Cricetulus griseus: one gene and its partners. Each later gene encodes a partner of the first gene's protein in a complex. Links are inferred from orthologs where the notes say so. Each region holds a gene or a part of one and is shown in the gene's direction. Other genes may lie near its edges.

Region 1 (4,285 bases):
ATGCAGAGGCCATGGAGGGGTGCTGCTTACTACTTTGTGTCCCATGACTGGCTTAGTCTATCTTCTTATAGAACCTAGGACCACCAGCCCAGAGACGACACCACAGGCAATGTGCTGGACCCTCCCCGGTTGATCACTAATTGAGAAAATGCCTTAAAGCTGGATCTCATGGAAGCATTTCCTCAACTGAGGCTCCTTCCTCTCTGATGACTCTAGCTTGTATCAAGTGGACATACAAAACCATCCAGTACAGTTCCTTAGTCCTGGAATCAAACACTAGACTTTCATGTAGAGGTATTATTTTTCTGTGAAACATCTATCACCCATGTTTCTTCTATTAGTACTTCTCCAGCAGTTAGCTCAAGAACTATTTCCCAGAAACCTTTACCCTTCCAATCTAATACAGAGAACACAGATATCCTTTAATCACACTTCACTGTAGTCTACCTGCCTGCCTTCTCTAGCAGTACTAAGTATTTTATGGATAGATTTAAGTCTATTACTGTTTTTAAGGTCTTTGCTCATAAAGAACACTTGGTATTTTTAAGTTAATAGTTGTCAGACTTCAAAGTTTTAAAGCTTAAAGCAGCAGGCTCAAAACTTTTAAACATGTAAATTGCAGATCATTTAATTATGTCATTTCATATGCAGACAGTGCATGGACTTCCAGAAGAGTGGAATACAACTGGTATTGTTGCTGGTAGAAAAATCTTAGGAGTGCATCTCTAGGAGACAGCTCCCACACTGACCTCAAGCTGTCTGAAGAACCCACTACATTAAGTTCTTAAGTTCACTTCCCTTGATCCTGATCTACTTGGCTGTTTCTTAAGTGCAGCCACCAAAAATGGGCAGCTGTTTATGGTCAGTTCTCTTGTCTTTAGGTTAAGGAGTACTTGGGGGGCGGTTACAAGGCCTAGATAGGTGTGTTTTCATGCATGTGCCTGGGTGAAGAGAAGAACTGATGTACCTGTCACTTTTACAGTTTGCAATACCTCCTTGGCTGGGTGACATTTGGTAACCACGTTCTCTTTGATCCTTCATTTTCTCAGTCCAAGGACACTTTATTTGCATGCCTGACTCCATGGTTGCATTCTTACCCAGCCTTGTAACCCCCTGGCCCAGAGGCAGAAGAGAGATATTCTACACACTTGTTCCTAAAGGAAGAAACCCTTCTGGGCTGGTCTGAAGGAACCTGGTTCGAAAGGGCATGCCCTCGACTGGACACCAGTGGACACCGAAACCGGTCTCGCAACCGCCATGCGGGCGCGTGGGGATGCAGAACAGGCGCTTAAACCCAGACCGTTTCCTCCGGCTGGAGAGCGCACCGGGGGCGAGGCACGGGGCGGGGCGCGAGCACCGAGGTGGCTTCCTGACCAATAAGCGCCGGTCAGGCGGGACCGGCGGTGGCCGCTCGGGGTGCGCGCGGGGCTGGGCGTACACGGTGACGCGCGGAGCCAGCAGGGCCAATGGGCGCAGGGTGGTGGCGGGCGGGCCCCGAGGCCTGGGGCTTTAGGAGGTGAGCGGGCCGCCGGCCGGCCTGACGCTGCTGCATCGCGGGAGGCGCATGGCGGGCATGGGGCTGGCGCGGGCCTGGAAGCAGATGTCCTGGTTCTACTACCAGTACCTGCTGGTCACGGCGCTCTACATGCTGGAACCCTGGGAGCGGACCGTGTTCAGTATCCTGTGTTGCCTGGCCTGGCCGGGGCTTGGAGGGGCACGCGCGCTGGGGGGTGGGGGTGGAGTGGGGCGGGGGTCTTAGGGCCAGGGGAGGTGAAACCGCGGAGATCCGGGTGTAGGGCGCAATTCCCCTGCCCAAGGTGGTGGCATCCTGATTTCTGCAGGCCGTCCGGAGGGCGACGTCTCCCCTGGTGCTTCCTGCCCCGCTTCGGCCGCGCCTGCCTTTTGCTTCAGTCCCCTGGTAGGAGGCAGGGATGATGCTGGTTGAGCAAATCGCTCCAGGCTTGGGCGTCTTTGACCCTTTAGCTATTCCTGATTTGATTGGCTTTGGAGCTACAGAACTCTAACCAGTTCACCAGGTTGTGAGGACGTGGTCGTGACACTCTCATACAGTTTTGGAAAGCAGTTTATAAGTTCCTGGCAGGCCTTTTTGATCTTCAAGATGGCAGTTTAGAAAGTGGGATTTATTTATGATTTCTTTGCATCGTAAATACAAACTGTGCCCGGGACAGATTTGTGGTTAGTTGTAGGTGGGGTTTCAACCTGTGCTTTGTTGTGTAGTTTATAAATAAGAACTGTTGAGTGACGACTTTGCTGAGCATTTCGTGTATACCTTACCTCACCTAATTTTGACAGCCCCAATGAACAGCTCAAGGTTGTGATGTCTGGGATGTTTGTTGGCTCCCAATGTCTATTTTGATATCCTCTGATATTATTCCTGTGGACTAAATACTAACAATGCATTCTTTCTTTCTTCCAGTCCCCTCTCCTTAATAAAATCTGAATTATTTCACATCACGTGTTCATTTCGTCAAGGCTCAGCTTTCTGATGTGGTTTAGCTTCCTTAGGAACAACTTCACACATGCACTGTTGCATTCTGATGACTGAGGTAGCGCTGGCTCTGCCTTTTATCAAGGGTGCCGGTGTTGAAGTAGCATGAAGTTGTTTGGAGCTGACTCTTGAAAAATTTTAGCTGCTTGCAAGACATTTTATTACCATTGGTATTTCTTTTCTAACCTAGAATTTAATAACCAGAATGCATATTTGGGGGTTTGGAATATAAAGTTGCTGATTTTCTGTATTGTGTGTTTTGTAGCTTTAGTTCTGTCTCTGGATTTTGTAGGTCAGGTAAAATGTACATTTAAATACATGTTTTATTGGAGCTTCTCAATAGTAGCAGGTAATCTTGACTGGAAATTAAACAATGTCAAAATAACAATAATGAAAGCCTAATGTGGTGGTTCATAACTGATTGCAACGTTCAAGAGGGTTGCTGGGAGTTCAAGGCAGCCTGGGCTACATAATACATAGCCAAGGACCAGGCAAACCAGGGTTACATAGCAAAACTCAAAGGAAGGAAGGAAGGAAAGAAAGAAAAGAAAGAAAGAAAAGAAAAGAAAATGGGGTAAAGTTTGAAACTCTTTAAGTCAGAGGTTGATGGTAAAGCTTAGTGTGGACATGTATACGTCAAAACATTTGTTGGTTTATGGATAAATACTACAGTGGCAACAATATTAAGATTTTTCTGTGCTATGTTTTAGTAGAAATAGTGTCCTGTTTTGAAGACAGAGAAATTATGAAGGGAAACCTCAGTAGATTTTGGTTTTGGTGTTTTTGACTAATTGGATCTAGCTATGCATCCAAGCTTGTGTTTGGCCAAGCTATGTGGCCAAACTTGCCTCAAACTCAAAGTCATCCTCCTCTCTTAGCCTTTTGAGTGCTGGTATGGTGTGGGCCACCATGTTTGCTGTTGTGTATTTTCTGCTGTTACCTTTGGATTTTCCTTCTGCAGGAATGGATGCTCTTTCCTAGTACCAGGGAGGGCTAACTGGATGAAACAGAATCTTAGTGAACCCTGTCTCCAAAAACAGCAGCTGTAGCAACAGCATCATTATTCGAGATCACATAGTGTAGTGGTCTTCAGACAGTTGGTGTATGTAACCCTTCAAAGGAAAAAAAGGTGGATGATGGATTCCCTTGCTCATTTATGTTGACATAGGAGTCTTGTAGATAGCTAGAAAGAATTTATTTATACATATATTTTAATACTTTTGTTAAAATTGTTTTAACAAAAATTATTTTTTGTTACTTTTTTAACTGTATACTTTTGTTAAAATGATTTTCTTACAATTCATAGAAAATGTTCATTGCATAACTGCAAAACCAGACTGCACGGTGAAGCCAATAGGAAAAAAAAAATCAGCTTTAATTTCTATCAGAAAAAAAAAGCTGCCTTTTTTTTTTTTTCCTTCTGTTCAAATTATTGTGTCCATAGCTAGATGCAGTGGTGCATGCCTGCAGTCCTAGAACTAGGGGAGGTAGCTAACCGCAGGAGCATCAGAACTTCAGGGCTAGCTTCAGCTACATGGTGAGTTTGAAGCTAGCCTTGGCTTCATAAAACCCTGTCCCCCCCAAACCACAAAACCAAACCAACCAAAAAACATTGTGTTAAAATAAACACTCCTGTTTTCCTTTGGGTGAGTAAATAGATGGCTTGGGGTTGTGCCAGATGTCTGTTATCTGAATGAAAGTAAAACCTAAGTTATTATCCCTTCTTTGCTGTGTTAGAGGTTCTATGTGTGGAGTCATGCCCCCTCCTCTCCCCAA
Region 2 (4,187 bases), on another chromosome or scaffold:
TGTTTTGACTCTAATGCTGAGCAGGTCTCTGTGAGGCTTTTTCAGCAGCTAGGATCATTTCTTAGATGTCAGGATCTAAAGGGCCTCTGACTCTGGGAACACTTGAGAAGCTGCCTAATTCTGCTTTGCGAAGGTCAAATGTACACTCACAACTTGCTCCCAGGGCTACCACTTCAGCCTTGAGACAACTATTTCCTGGTAGCTCCCAGAGGATGGGTGGGTCTAAGGAAAAAGCTCTCCAGGTAGTTGGGCAGGCCTTCTCCTTCCTGTCTCTGCACGCTCGGTTCATCGTGCATTTACAGCCTGCCGGTTGACATCTATTAACATCGGATCCTGTCATTCCAGCCGTGCCAGGACTTAAGGGCACGGGACTTAGAAGATGGGCGGGGAAGTGGAAACAACCGAAAGGAGGCCTTCTTGTTGACACGGACAGTGGGAGTGGCCCAGAAGAGCTTAAGACCTATTTAGTTCAGTTCCTACAATGTAATAGGTGCTTTATATTACATTCTTTTGAAACATCAAAACACCCTTGGAGGTAGGTTTTCACAGCTGTGGAATTGAGATTAATACGAGTCATTTGCTCAGGATTACACTGCCAATAAAGGCATACCTGCACTATATGTACTTAGCAGTAAAATCTGTGCCCTTCTCTTTGGAGCTTCAAGACATGAAAGTTGTATACCAGAGGCACATTACCAAAAGCCACACACGCTAACCCGAGACACAGACTCAAAGCTCCTTACTGTTCGTAAGGACTTTTCCTATGACACACATCCCAGATGAAACCCGACGCGGGGAGATCCAGGATGCGGCCAGACCCACGCCAGCAAGGATTAAATGTAGCGACCAGGTGTACCAATGATGCCCATAGCCTCCCGTCTCTACAGACAAGTACCCCAACCAAGGTTCTGAAAATGTGATCCCTAGTGGAGACAGGTGGGAGGGGCTCCATCAGGACAAAGGGCTGTGCTTCTCGGCTTCTAGAGTCTGCGACGTTTAGTGGAAAAAAAAACTCTGCACTTGTGGTCAGACTATCTCAGCAGGGTCTTATTGCAAGTTACTTAAAACTCTGAGTCTCTTGGTCTAAAAAAAACGAGAGCTTGGGCAAACCGCTTGTGCATGTCTTAAAGGGCGCAGATGCAAAAGCTGGGATTGTTACGCACCAAAGAGACTTCACCTGATCTCACTATTGCGTCAGGGAGAGAGACGTTCTGCCGTGCGTGCTCAGAAGCTCGCAGCGAGCTGGGAGAGGTAGCCCAGGGGAAAGCCTACAACTCCCAGGAGGCTCCGGGAGGGCGGGTGACGAGGCAGCGTAGAAACTACACTTCCCAAGAGGCACAACGTGTTTAGGCGCGTGGCAGTGACGTCACGAGGCCCGGCTCAGGGAGCTGATTCGGCCAGAGCTGCCAGCGGGGTGGCTACCGCCGCTGGTTTGTTACAGCTGCTGGAGTGGCCGCGGCCCGGGTTCTCGGGCTCCTCTCCCGGGCCCTCGACCTCCGGCCCCGCGCGGTGGGTCCTTACGGTCGGCCTCGGAGTGGTGAAGCCCGAAGGCTCCAGGGGTAGGAGAGGCGCGAGAGAAGGCTGCTGCTGAGGAGGCGTCCGCGCAGGAGGAGACCTGAGCTGAGTGGCTGGGGGTGGAGAGAGTGAGTGCATCAGGCGAAGGAGCGCCAAGGAAAGTGGGAGCAGGAGGCCGGGGGTGGGGTGTCCGGGAGGAGCGCTTCAGCTGGGGGTGGGAGGAGGGAACGGCTGGACTTGGAGGGATAAAGGGTTTGCTGCCTCCCGGGCTGAGTGAATGCTTGGAGATGGGGGTTGGGCCCCGAACCCGGCCAGATTCCTAGTGCGAGGTACCAACCAGGCTGCGGAGCAGAGCGGGAGACCCCATGGAAGGAGTTTCCTCGCTCCTGATTAGTGGGGCTTCGCTTTCTTTCCACCCCTCCTCTCTACTGAGTCCTGGAGTCTGGACCAGCGAGCACAACCATGGTCCTGCAGTTGAGGGTGGGCCGAGTGAAGAGACCGACGTGTTGTGTGTACTGCATGAATTCTCTGTTGGGACCCCTTGGGAACAAGTTTGCTGTGTAAAGGGCCAGCCTTAAGCCGGGGAGGGAATGGAAAGTGCTTACCGGATGGCTAGAGTGTTTGACAGCCTGGCTGGGCCTGGACGGGACAGGGAAAAGATCTATAGCAAAAAAGTGGTTCACAGAAGAGAGTTGCTTCGGGCTCTGATTTGAAGCAGGTTATGAAACAGCATCAGGATCTGGTGCTGGCAGCCACCTGCCAGCTGTGGCTGCAGAAGTTTTCAGTCTGGCTGCACCAGATCTTTCTGCCAGTCTCGTGTTTCTTCACTTATAGGAGAAAGGTCAATTGTTTACTAATGGAAGTGACATGTTCACATAGCCACAGGAAAGTCTCAGAAGTACTTTCTGGCTCCCAGTCTTTTTGGGAGTGCGTGGTGGGAGAGGCTGCAAGGGGTCTCCTGGTTTCAAGGGCATCTGGCATTCAGGCTTCAGGAAGGCGATTCCCACGGGGTCCACTAGGCTTTGTGAAATGCCCTGTTGAGCCAGAAAAGGGTGAAGGGTCTTGAAATCCTAGGATTCAGACAGACTGTTGGCACTCCTGAACAGAGAGTGAGGGGGTTCTGTCTGGCTTCGGGGAGGAGACAGCAGTTTCTGGTAAAGCAGCTCTTTTTCCTCCCTTGACCATCTTCCAGAGATTTCACATGTCACGTGGACGCTGTTGCACAGCAGCTGTCCCAGGGGCTGTGTTAGGGTAACTGGAGCCCTAAGGTTGGGGGAAGGTAAACAACTGGTTTTCTAGTTCCTTGGGTTTCTGTTGGGACCAATTATCCATCTTAATGGGCCAGGGGTTTGGTCCCAGGAGTGTGACCTCCCTCCACCAGGATGCACACTAGGCCAACTCATGGATCTGTTTGTTGGGCAACTGCTGTGGGTTCTATTTCCCGAGGTATCTGAGAAGAGGAAACTTGCTTCCATTATACTTAAGTAAGGAACTTATCTGAGGGAATTCTGGCTCCTGTGGAGGAGACTTGGCTGGAATCCTAGCTAGGTGAGATAGCATCTGAGTCTGGGGGAGAAGTGGTTGTAGCGGGATGAGGTAGCTGGTCTGGCACCTCCAGACTATATCTGCCATTCCTTTCTGTACATCTTGAAAAAGTGGAGTTGTTAAGCACAGGAATGACCTCGGGGTCTTTAGCAGGCAGGACCCTAAGCTAGGTAGGTAAACCCAGCATACCGATGCCTTCTGTATCCACCTCCTGCTGGTTAGTCAGTGGTCCCTCAGAAATCTGGAGAGAGCCAGGCTCCTGGGAAAAGGGACAGACCATTCTTCTCCCCTGTGGCTACTGCTACCATTGTTTTCTGGGCATCGAGGGCAGCCGTTTTGGTTCCTTATGCTGTAGAGCTTCTACCACTGGAGCTAGACAAGCAAAGGCTGTTGTTAATTCACACCCACAAACATGCTAGGAAGGGAGGTGAGATCAGGTGGAGCCAAGAAGGGAGGAGGTAGGAGGGAGGCCACAGGTAGTTTTGTATCCTTGGGAGGAGTAGGCTGATATGGGTACCACATCCCACCTGTGGGAACTATAGATATTGGCTGTGTGCTCTGATCTGTTCTCTTCTCTCTCTGGTGGGGTAAAGGGCTCTGCTGGTTTGGCGGCCTAATAGTGATGCCCCAAGAGTTTTAGCCTGAGCAGATGCCAAATGGCTAAAATTCCCCAATGGATGGGTCATTTTGTGTCGAAATGTTTGTAGGTCTGAGCAAAGGCCATCCCTGGCCTGCTTTTTTCTCTTCCCCCTTCTCCCTGCCCTGTCAGTTCTCCTGGGGCTGGGCTTGAGGAAATCCAGGATTAGAGAAATAGGGGTGGTGGGAACAGTAGCCCCAAAGTACTTCATCCACTGTTGCCTGTGTCCCCAGTCCTCCCTGCTTTTGCTCCTTTTGGGAGCGGCTTAGAGTAGGGGATGTCTCCTATCAGCTCTCCAGTGAGAGCCAGCAGAGGTTATTCTGAGTGAGAGTTCTGAGAGAGCAGGCCTCTCTCCTCACCCCAGGAGGAAGAGGGCCTCAGGGTACAATAGGGGGTGAGATTGGGGACTGGACATTGATTGCTATCGTCTGGACTGGACACCTCTTGGTGACTTGTCCTCCTAGACTTTGTCAGCACGTAGTCCCAGTGG
Region 3 (4,083 bases), on another chromosome or scaffold:
ATGCCCCTAGCTCTCCAATACTGGGATCACAGGTCTGTGCCACCATAGCCTAGAGTGTTACTCTTAAGGCCTTTAGTTTCAGATAGGATTTTTTTATATCAACAGAGGAAAATCACAAAGGTAAGCTAAGAAATGCTCAACCAGCTGTAAACTATTGGTATTGACCAATAAACCACAATGCCCTTTGATAACAATTGTTGTATTGAGAGAATAATGGATAATGAGTAAGCCAGAGGTATTTGTGGACTAGGACCCTATGGTCAGCATACGCCTCACAACAAAAGAGTCAGTGGCAAAATCAAGTATCATTTCTTACTACTCTACATATGCCAATTCACCAAATACAGTGTCTCATTTTATAGACAGAAGTACTGAGACATAGAGAAGGTGAATGGTTCCTCTAAGGTCATGTGATTAAAAAATGATGCATTATTGGTAAGAATCAGAATGTTCTGTTTTACTGACTTTGTTTGTCTTGAATTTTTTAGTGGTCTGGGACTCTTCATCATTTTGTATGTTATGTTATATAGTGCATATGTTTATATGTGGGTTGTAAATATTGCTGTTGTGATTTTAACATTCACCAGGGCAAATGATAGAATATTGACCATTTGAGACACATTACTTATACAGTTCAGTGACATTATATATACTCATCCTGTTCAATGACCCATGACCACAAGTGTCTCTTCCACCCCAACTAAAACTTTGTACCTGTTAGACAACAACCCCCCCACCACTGTGCCCCTTCCTCCCCTAGCAGTCACTCATGAAAATTATTTTCTGGCACAAAGAAATCTTAAGTTTTAAGCTTAGCTTTCAGTGAAAAAAAATGTAACTATATGTGAAGGGCAGAGGATGCAAGAAGGAGAAAAACTTGTAACCAGCCCTTCAGTACCATGAACTCTATGAGGGTGCTGTAAAAATCTTTAAATGTCTCTCTACCTCTCAGCCTGCCTCCCCAATATTTGTTCCTGGAATTTTCTGTCCCCTGGTTTCCTCTGCTTCCAAGAGCAGCCAACAGAGCAAATTCCTTTGTAGTTTCAGAAGCAGGTTTGTTGCCATGGAACCCACAATGCCACTGGAGTGGACTAGTAAAAGGTAACCACTAAAGATCCAGCCAATAGATAGGCTGTGGTTCTTCTTCTAGAAAAGCCTGACTGGTAGGATTCCTTTAAAGGCTCAACCCCAAAGTGCTTTATGTCATCACTCCAGCTCCTTGAAAACTGAAGCTTCAGGAGATCTCTGAGAGAGAACCTGCTAGGCTGCAGAGCTTCCCACCAATGGCCAGTCTAAGGGGTAGTGTTGTTACTAATGGAACTCTCCACAATCCCAAGACTCAGCACAGCAAATGGCAAAGCACTGACTGTGTGAAAAATGGAATCGCCAAAGAAGCCCAGGTAAGAAGTGGTCTCCTACATCCTTAATCTGTATGACCCAAGTATTTCCATATTTCTTAGCAACACAGTTTAAGGCAATCTTTACTCCAAGTTTCTCTCATGAGATGTTTTATTGTGTTGGCTCTGCACTTCAGCTAATATTCTGTTACATGTGGCTGCTGCAAAGCTTAGATGTGGCTATCAGGGAATTTCTTCTCTAGATAAGAGAAGATGCATACAGAGTCACATTCTCTAAAATACAGACCTTATAAACTTTTCATTTATTCTCAAGCATTTCAGGGGACAAGTTTGTGAAAGATCAAACTCTTGGACCTACCAAATAACTTGCTACACTCATGATGCTTAAGGAGAAAAAAAGAAGTGATCATAAATCTTGCAGAGATCATGTGGTCGATGACACTTGTCCCTGGTGCACATGAAATGCCTTTCTGGTTGAAAAGAACATTTTTGTGTTTAACAGAGCATTGCCATAGCCCACAGCCTGATTAGAGACTGGAGTCTCTGTTTGAAATTTGACCCCTCCGGTATTCCTTTCTAAAACTCACTTCAGGGGGTGTAGTTTAGGGTGTTCTGCACATGGAAAGCAAAGCAGCCTCTTTAAAACAGATTTTCTTTTTATTTCCATTTCATATTTCCCCTCCTTTTTGGCCTGTGCTATTGCAAAATATTTGAGGGGATGTCCCAGGGAAGAGAAAAATCGAGAAAGCATTCAAAGGAGTGTCTCAAATCTGTGAGGTTCTTGAAGGAAAGCAATTATGCATGTCACATAGCATGCCAGGACTCTCCAGTCTAAGTCACATGGTAAGCTAACCTGCCTTGAGGACAAGCTTGAATAGACAGGCAGTCTCACTGTAGGGAAATAGCAAAGCTTTGTGTAGAACCCCACATAAACTTCCCTTGTTCAGTCATCCTAGTGAGCCAGCCTTCGCCTGAGGGAAATGTTAGGTTGTGCCAAGCACCTAGAACAGAGAAGGTTGGCTGTGGTCAGGCCTCCGTGCGGTGAATCATTTGCATGTCCAGTTGGGAGGTACAAGGGGCACTCAGAAGTCTGGCTTGTATGGTAAAATGGTATGGTCCTCTAAATGTATCCATCTCTTACCAAAAGACATTGGAAAATGTCTACCAGAAATCTCAGGCTGGAACAGGAGGAAGAGAAAGGGCATAAGAGAACTCACAGCACTATACCTCATCCATTAAGATCATTGCTAAGATGCCCCTTGTCCTTGAAATACCTGTTTCACTAGCCACTGTTTGCCTCCTAGGTTACTCTGATTCTTGGGTATCTTATTTGACCACAGATGCCTTCAAAACAAGTTTTCCTTTTCTTTACTTATCTTGATTTCATAACTATATTCTAGTGTTTGACATTGAAAGAGTAAATAGATAGGACAGCCATTCCTATGTAAGGGTAGGACCCCACAGGTACTGTAATTATACAAGACCATAACATCCTTTGCCATGGAAACGTCTTTAAGTGCACAGTGTCACTGCTGTGGCCTTTCCCTAGCAACTCTTTCTGCAAAGCCATCCAGATCCTGTCTGCTAAGATATATTTAGATGTTTCTAAGTTGTAATTGGATTCCACTAAGAGCCTCAGTTATGTATTAATAAATATTTTCCTGAAATAATAAACTCTGCTGAGCTCATAACAGACCTAATTTCTCCCTGTAAAGTATGAATAAAGTTGTCTTTACTATAGTGATCCTCAGGCAAAAGTTTTACCTAATGGGCCTCTTAATAAGATAGGCCTTGACTATTGGCAAAATGAATTGCTGAGAGCTTGTAGATGTCTGAGGTCAGTGATCTTTCAAATGGTTTGCTGGGACTTAGGTTTCATGGGACAGTGCCTCAAACCCTACCAACTCCAGTGAAGATCCCTTTAGCTTTCTTCTACTTCTTTGTACTCATACAATACAGTTACCACTCTCACATACTGGCTATTCTGTAATATTCTGTTGGCAAAAGATTTCCCAGCCCAGCAAGCAAAATGTAAACACCTTTATGCAGTAACTTTGGAATGTCATTTACTTTGTTCCAATGTAGATGCTAGTATGTGGGCTCAGTAGCCCAACCTTACAATTGACCAGGAGCCAGAATATTTCCATTTTGGAAATCATCCAGAGTTTCTTTCTGGAGCTTTTCTGATCCTTAATCCGTTTGCCTTCCTTTCCCCTTTAAGCTCCATATGCCCCCAGGATGAACTGAAACAAACGTGGTTTCACCACTGATGAAGTCTGTTCTTTGTTTACCTCTACAATGTGTCCTGTGTTGCTATATCTACTAGAATATTGTTGTCCAAGACCATTGATCCTCCCTCCTCACAAGCATATCTGTGTAAAGGTTGGAGGACTTTTGATGCCCTTAATTTATTTTTATGAACTCTATTCCTAAACAATTGAAAAGTTTTCAAATTTTTCCTTGGCTTCCTTTTGTTACCAATTCTCACCATCAACATGACTGAAGTGGTCCATATTATCCATGCAGAGCCTGAATAATTCGTTATTTTAGCTTTGTCTGTTTGTGGGGCTCCCAGCAGTGGGACTAGGATCCATCCCTGGTAAATGAGCTGGCTTCTTGAAGCCCATTCACTATGGGATGACTTGCTCAGCCTTGATGCAGAGGGGAGAAGCTTGTTTTTGCCTCAACTTGACTTGACAGGCTTTGTTGACTCCCTATGGGAGGC
Region 4 (3,943 bases), on another chromosome or scaffold:
CCTTCCACACAGAAAGCTGAGTGGATGCTGTTAATGTCTGTCTCCTCTCTATCCAGAGGCCGTCCTTTGTCCCTCTGGAACAAATACCCTTCACCTTATCTTCTTACCACCTCATCCTAGCCCATTCTAACACAGACCTCCGTTTTCCTCCTCTTAACAATGACACCTGCAAGGTCATCTGCTGCTGTTTTCTCCTAAGTCAGAAAGCAGCCACTTTAACCTTTCTTCCCCACGTAATAAGGATCTCTGTGGAAAACAAGTGTTTGGGTGTGCGCGGGTTTGGAGGAAGCCCGTCAGAGAGCCCCGGGGGGGGGGGGGGGGTTATTATTATTATTATTATTTTTACTTATTTATTTATTTGCTTTCGTGGGTGCCGGGGATTGAACTCTGTTCCTCTTTCCTGACTGAGCTCTCTCTCCAGCCCTAATTTACTTCTCTTCCCCTTTAAAAATTAAAATAAAATCACTATCCCAATGGTATTTCTGGACAAGTCTCAGGAAATGTAAATTGGTGTGCACATGAAACTTGGCATCTAAATTTTCACAGTAGCTTTTTGACCATACTTCATCATGAGGATAACCACACATACCTACATTATGAAATAGGGCTCCCGACTCGCCCTGAGGAAGAAACTACGTAGATTTCTGTGGGTTGTTTTAATAATGCTGCATGACTGCATTGCTTGTTATTAAAAGGGAAGGGCATATTTCCCTCTTGTTGTTTTAATTGTGTATGTGTGTGTGTATTTTTTGAGACAGGGTCTCACTGTGTCCCTGGCTGGCTTGGTGTTTTACAGGCCATGTGGAGCAGGCTCGCCTGGAACTCTCTGCCTCCCAAATGGGATTAAAGGCCTGCGCCACCTCGCCCGGCCTAATATCATTTATCTTAAAAACCCTGCGCACAGCCGACTGTCAAGAACAAAGGCCACGTACTGATTCTCTCAACAAAAGTCCACGGCGCGACGCCATTCAAATCTCAGGGCTCCGAACCTGCGTCTCCAAGGCCGGGTCCGCGAGCAACCGACTCGCGCGACGAGGCAACGCCCAACTTCCGGCGGCCCCGCCCCCGAGGTTTCGTGACGCCACTAGTCCGCGCCGCGCACTATTTGACGCGTCTGTGACCCGCCTGCCGGAAGCCGGGTGTCTGACCATGGCGATGGCGGCGGAGCAGTGGGTGCTGGTGGAGATGGTGCAGGCGCTGTACGAGGTGCGTCCGTCGCCGGAGCCTCCCGTGAGCCCGCGGCCGGGGCCTAGCGACCTGCGCCCCGGATCCGCGGTGCTTCCCGCCCCCGGGACGGGGGCACGGGGGACGGAGCCTCGGCCGTACTCACGCCGGACTCCGGCGAGCAGCCCTTGGGAGGGGTGCTGAGGACACGCGAGTCCTCGCAACCACGGCTGGAACTGATGGCGAGACCGGGTTTGTGGGCGTGGGCGGCCTCAGATGTGGGGGGATGCCTTTTTCATAAACTGTAAACTTTGCCCGGTCGGGGGAGAGTGGTTCAGAGAAGCAGAATCATTGGGAATTTATGAAAACGGACCAGCCGTTCTTCTGCCCACAATTTCTGTGTTATACGCATAACGTCTTGAAGGATGTTTTAAAGAATACTTGAAGGGTTAGGGTGGCTTCGTTCAGCTGTGTAAGAAAATAGGAATTACGGGTGCCAGCCCTGGGAGAATGCTGGCTTATTGAATAACTGAGCTTCCCTGCTATGTCCTCTAGAACTGGTGTGTCTTCTGCCTCAGGGGCTCTTCAGCACAGCAGTCACTAACGCCACGTGAAAGTAGGCACTGGCAACGAATTTGTAATTGCACTTCAGTGTGAATGTCGGTGGTCACATATGACTAGTGGCTATGTGTTGGACCACACAGACAAAATAGTAGAATAGCCAAGAAACCATCTTACTAAGATGGCTCAACATTTAATAGTACTTACAACTCTTCCAGAGCGTCTGGATTCAATTGCCAGCATCCACATGATGGCTCACAGTCATTTGTAACCTGTTCCGGGGGAATCTTCTGGTCTCTGGGGGGTGCCAGGCACACCTGTGGTAGACAGACATACTTGCAGACAGAATACTTGTACACATGAAAATAAAGTAATAAAAATCATTAAAAATTAAGATATCTTTGTACCTATCAACATGGGACAGGTTGGCATCCTGTGGGTGACACCATAGAAAAGAGAAGGGATTTTCTTTCAGCGTTTATTATTGCCACCTCACCCATACTTAACACTTCCTTGTCTAAGATTTAAGAAGATTTAGCAGGATACACTTCTTGGGGGCTGGAGAGATGGCTCAGAGGTTAAGAGCACTGACTGCTCTTCCAGAGGTCCTGAGTTCAATTCCCAGCAACCACATGGTGGTTCACAACCATCCATTATGAGATCTGGTGCCCTCTTCGGGTGTGCAGATATACATGGAAGCAGAATGTTGTATACATAATAAATAAATAAAATCTTTAAAAAAAAAAGATTTAGCAGGGTATGGAAAATTCAGTAAGGTGCAAAATTTAATTGTGGAAGCTGCTTTCCACATAGTTTTGTTAACTTATCCATGGGCAGTCAAAGGCTATAGAAGTGTGTTTAGGTGTGTGCTGTTATAGTCATTCCCTGCCAATAAAAATGTAAATTATCTGAACAGTGTGATAGAGTTGTTTTTAAGTGTTGGGATTGTGTGTCAGGTCTTACCTCTTTTTCATTTTCATTACTGAAAGGTTTTAAAGCTGAAGTATTAGGGGTTTTTCATGTGATGGAGTAACTGGCAGTTGTTTAGGTGGAGAGGCATGAAGAGTCATTAAGGAAGCCCTGTCAGTAAGGTGTATGTGGGAATAGTGTGGTGGTCAGAGAGGCAGTGCTGTGGTGGGCTGAATGTCCCTGCAGGCTTCCAAGTGACTTCTTTGCTTTCTTTCCTTTGTTTTTGCTTTTCTCCCTTGCAGGCTCCAGCATACCATCTTATTCTGGAGGGGATTCTAATACTTTGGATAATCAGACTGGTTTTCTCTAAAACCTACAAATTGCAAGAGCGTTCTGATCTTACAGCCAAGGTAAAAAATGGCGCTTGTTTTATTCAAGGAATGTGGCAGCTACATCATCTTTCTATAGTGTCCCTGTAGGGCACTAGAACTCATCTCTGCAGGGTATGTTAAAACGTTGAATGTGAAGAGAGCAGGGAGTATGGAATTTCTGAGTAAGCAAGGTTTGAGGAAAGCCACACTGGAGGAGACAGCAACCTGCTAGTAGATGGTTTGAGGGGTGCATGAGCAGCAACTGGATGCCAGTGTCTACACACAGGTTATAGGAGTTGTCCCTGTGGCCTAGAGGAGAGTTCTTCATGTGGTCTTCAGAAAGGGGATTCAGGGTTGGAAACACTCACATCTCAAGTAGAATTTAGATGTGTTATGTGTAGTAAGATGGAAGAAATCCCGGGCATAGAAATAAGATTTTTAAGTTGTCAGGTTACCCAGAAACTACATGGAAAAAAAAAGGTGTGAGCTGTAATAAGGAAAGAGGTGAGGATGGTAAGTACCCAGAACTCAAGAAGGATGGCCTTTGTTCTCCACAACAGCTGGCAGGGGTGTTTCTGTGGCGCATTGTTCATTGTTGCAGCGTTACAGTCAGGCATCACCAGAGATAGTGTGAGATGACTCTGGCTACACCATACTCTGATGTCCTTTCTTCTGTAGGAAAAGGAGGAACTGATTGAAGAGTGGCAGCCAGAACCTCTCGTCCCTCCTGTCTCGAAAAACCATCCTGCTCTCAACTACAACATCGTTTCCGGGTGAGTGGCTTGGCCTTGCTGCGTGAAGTGCTTGACCTGGCTTTAGTTCTGTTGTCAAGCATGTGAAGGATGGTATTCCCTTGCCAATGAAGGCATTTCTTTGAGTAACTGCTGTACTTTTCAATGTGAAACTCTTTCTTCCCCTAACTTGCACTCTGTTGTTCT

The links. The genes of interacting proteins can lie anywhere in the genome.
Region 2: the proteins of serine palmitoyltransferase small subunit A (region 1) and Ormdl3 are in contact, whole or in part, in a cryo-EM structure (PDB 7CQI), measured with the Homo sapiens proteins. The link is inferred for Cricetulus griseus from reciprocal best matches to the Homo sapiens genes SPTSSA and ORMDL3. Residues at the interface, in NP_612145.2 of Homo sapiens: Ile44, Tyr50, Thr51, Val54, Phe55; in NP_001307730.1 of Homo sapiens: Val36, Leu38, Ser39, Ile40, Pro41, Phe42, Ser44.
Region 3: serine palmitoyltransferase small subunit A (region 1) and Sptlc3 share a complex: the UniProt entries of both Homo sapiens proteins name them as parts of the serine palmitoyltransferase (SPT) complex. The link is inferred for Cricetulus griseus from reciprocal best matches to the Homo sapiens genes SPTSSA and SPTLC3.
Region 4: serine palmitoyltransferase small subunit A (region 1) and Sptlc1 share a complex: the UniProt entries of both Homo sapiens proteins name them as parts of the serine palmitoyltransferase (SPT) complex. The link is inferred for Cricetulus griseus from reciprocal best matches to the Homo sapiens genes SPTSSA and SPTLC1.

What each region holds. Positions count from the first base shown.
Region 1 is NC_048598.1:147,641,315-147,645,599, forward strand, and holds the start of serine palmitoyltransferase small subunit A, read left to right. Parts: upstream 1-1,485; 5' UTR 1,486-1,564; coding exon 1,565-1,676; intron 1,677-4,285. UniProt on the Homo sapiens protein: Component of the serine palmitoyltransferase multisubunit enzyme (SPT) that catalyzes the initial and rate-limiting step in sphingolipid biosynthesis by condensing L-serine and activated acyl-CoA (most commonly palmitoyl-CoA) to form long-chain bases.
Region 2 is NC_048600.1:111,720,983-111,725,169, reverse strand, and holds the start of Ormdl3 (ORM1-like protein 3), read left to right. Parts: upstream 1-1,387; 5' UTR 1,388-1,643; intron 1,644-4,187. UniProt on the Homo sapiens protein: Plays an essential role in the homeostatic regulation of sphingolipid de novo biosynthesis by modulating the activity of the serine palmitoyltransferase (SPT) in response to ceramide levels.
Region 3 is NC_048599.1:39,315,079-39,319,161, reverse strand, and holds the start of Sptlc3 (serine palmitoyltransferase 3), read left to right. Parts: upstream 1-1,283; coding exon 1,284-1,400; intron 1,401-4,083. UniProt on the Homo sapiens protein: Component of the serine palmitoyltransferase multisubunit enzyme (SPT) that catalyzes the initial and rate-limiting step in sphingolipid biosynthesis by condensing L-serine and activated acyl-CoA (most commonly palmitoyl-CoA) to form long-chain bases.
Region 4 is NC_048596.1:272,312,263-272,316,205, reverse strand, and holds the start of Sptlc1 (serine palmitoyltransferase 1), read left to right. Parts: upstream 1-1,143; 5' UTR 1,144-1,149; coding exon 1,150-1,206; intron 1,207-2,936; coding exon 2,937-3,044; intron 3,045-3,683; coding exon 3,684-3,778; intron 3,779-3,943. UniProt on the Homo sapiens protein: Component of the serine palmitoyltransferase multisubunit enzyme (SPT) that catalyzes the initial and rate-limiting step in sphingolipid biosynthesis by condensing L-serine and activated acyl-CoA (most commonly palmitoyl-CoA) to form long-chain bases.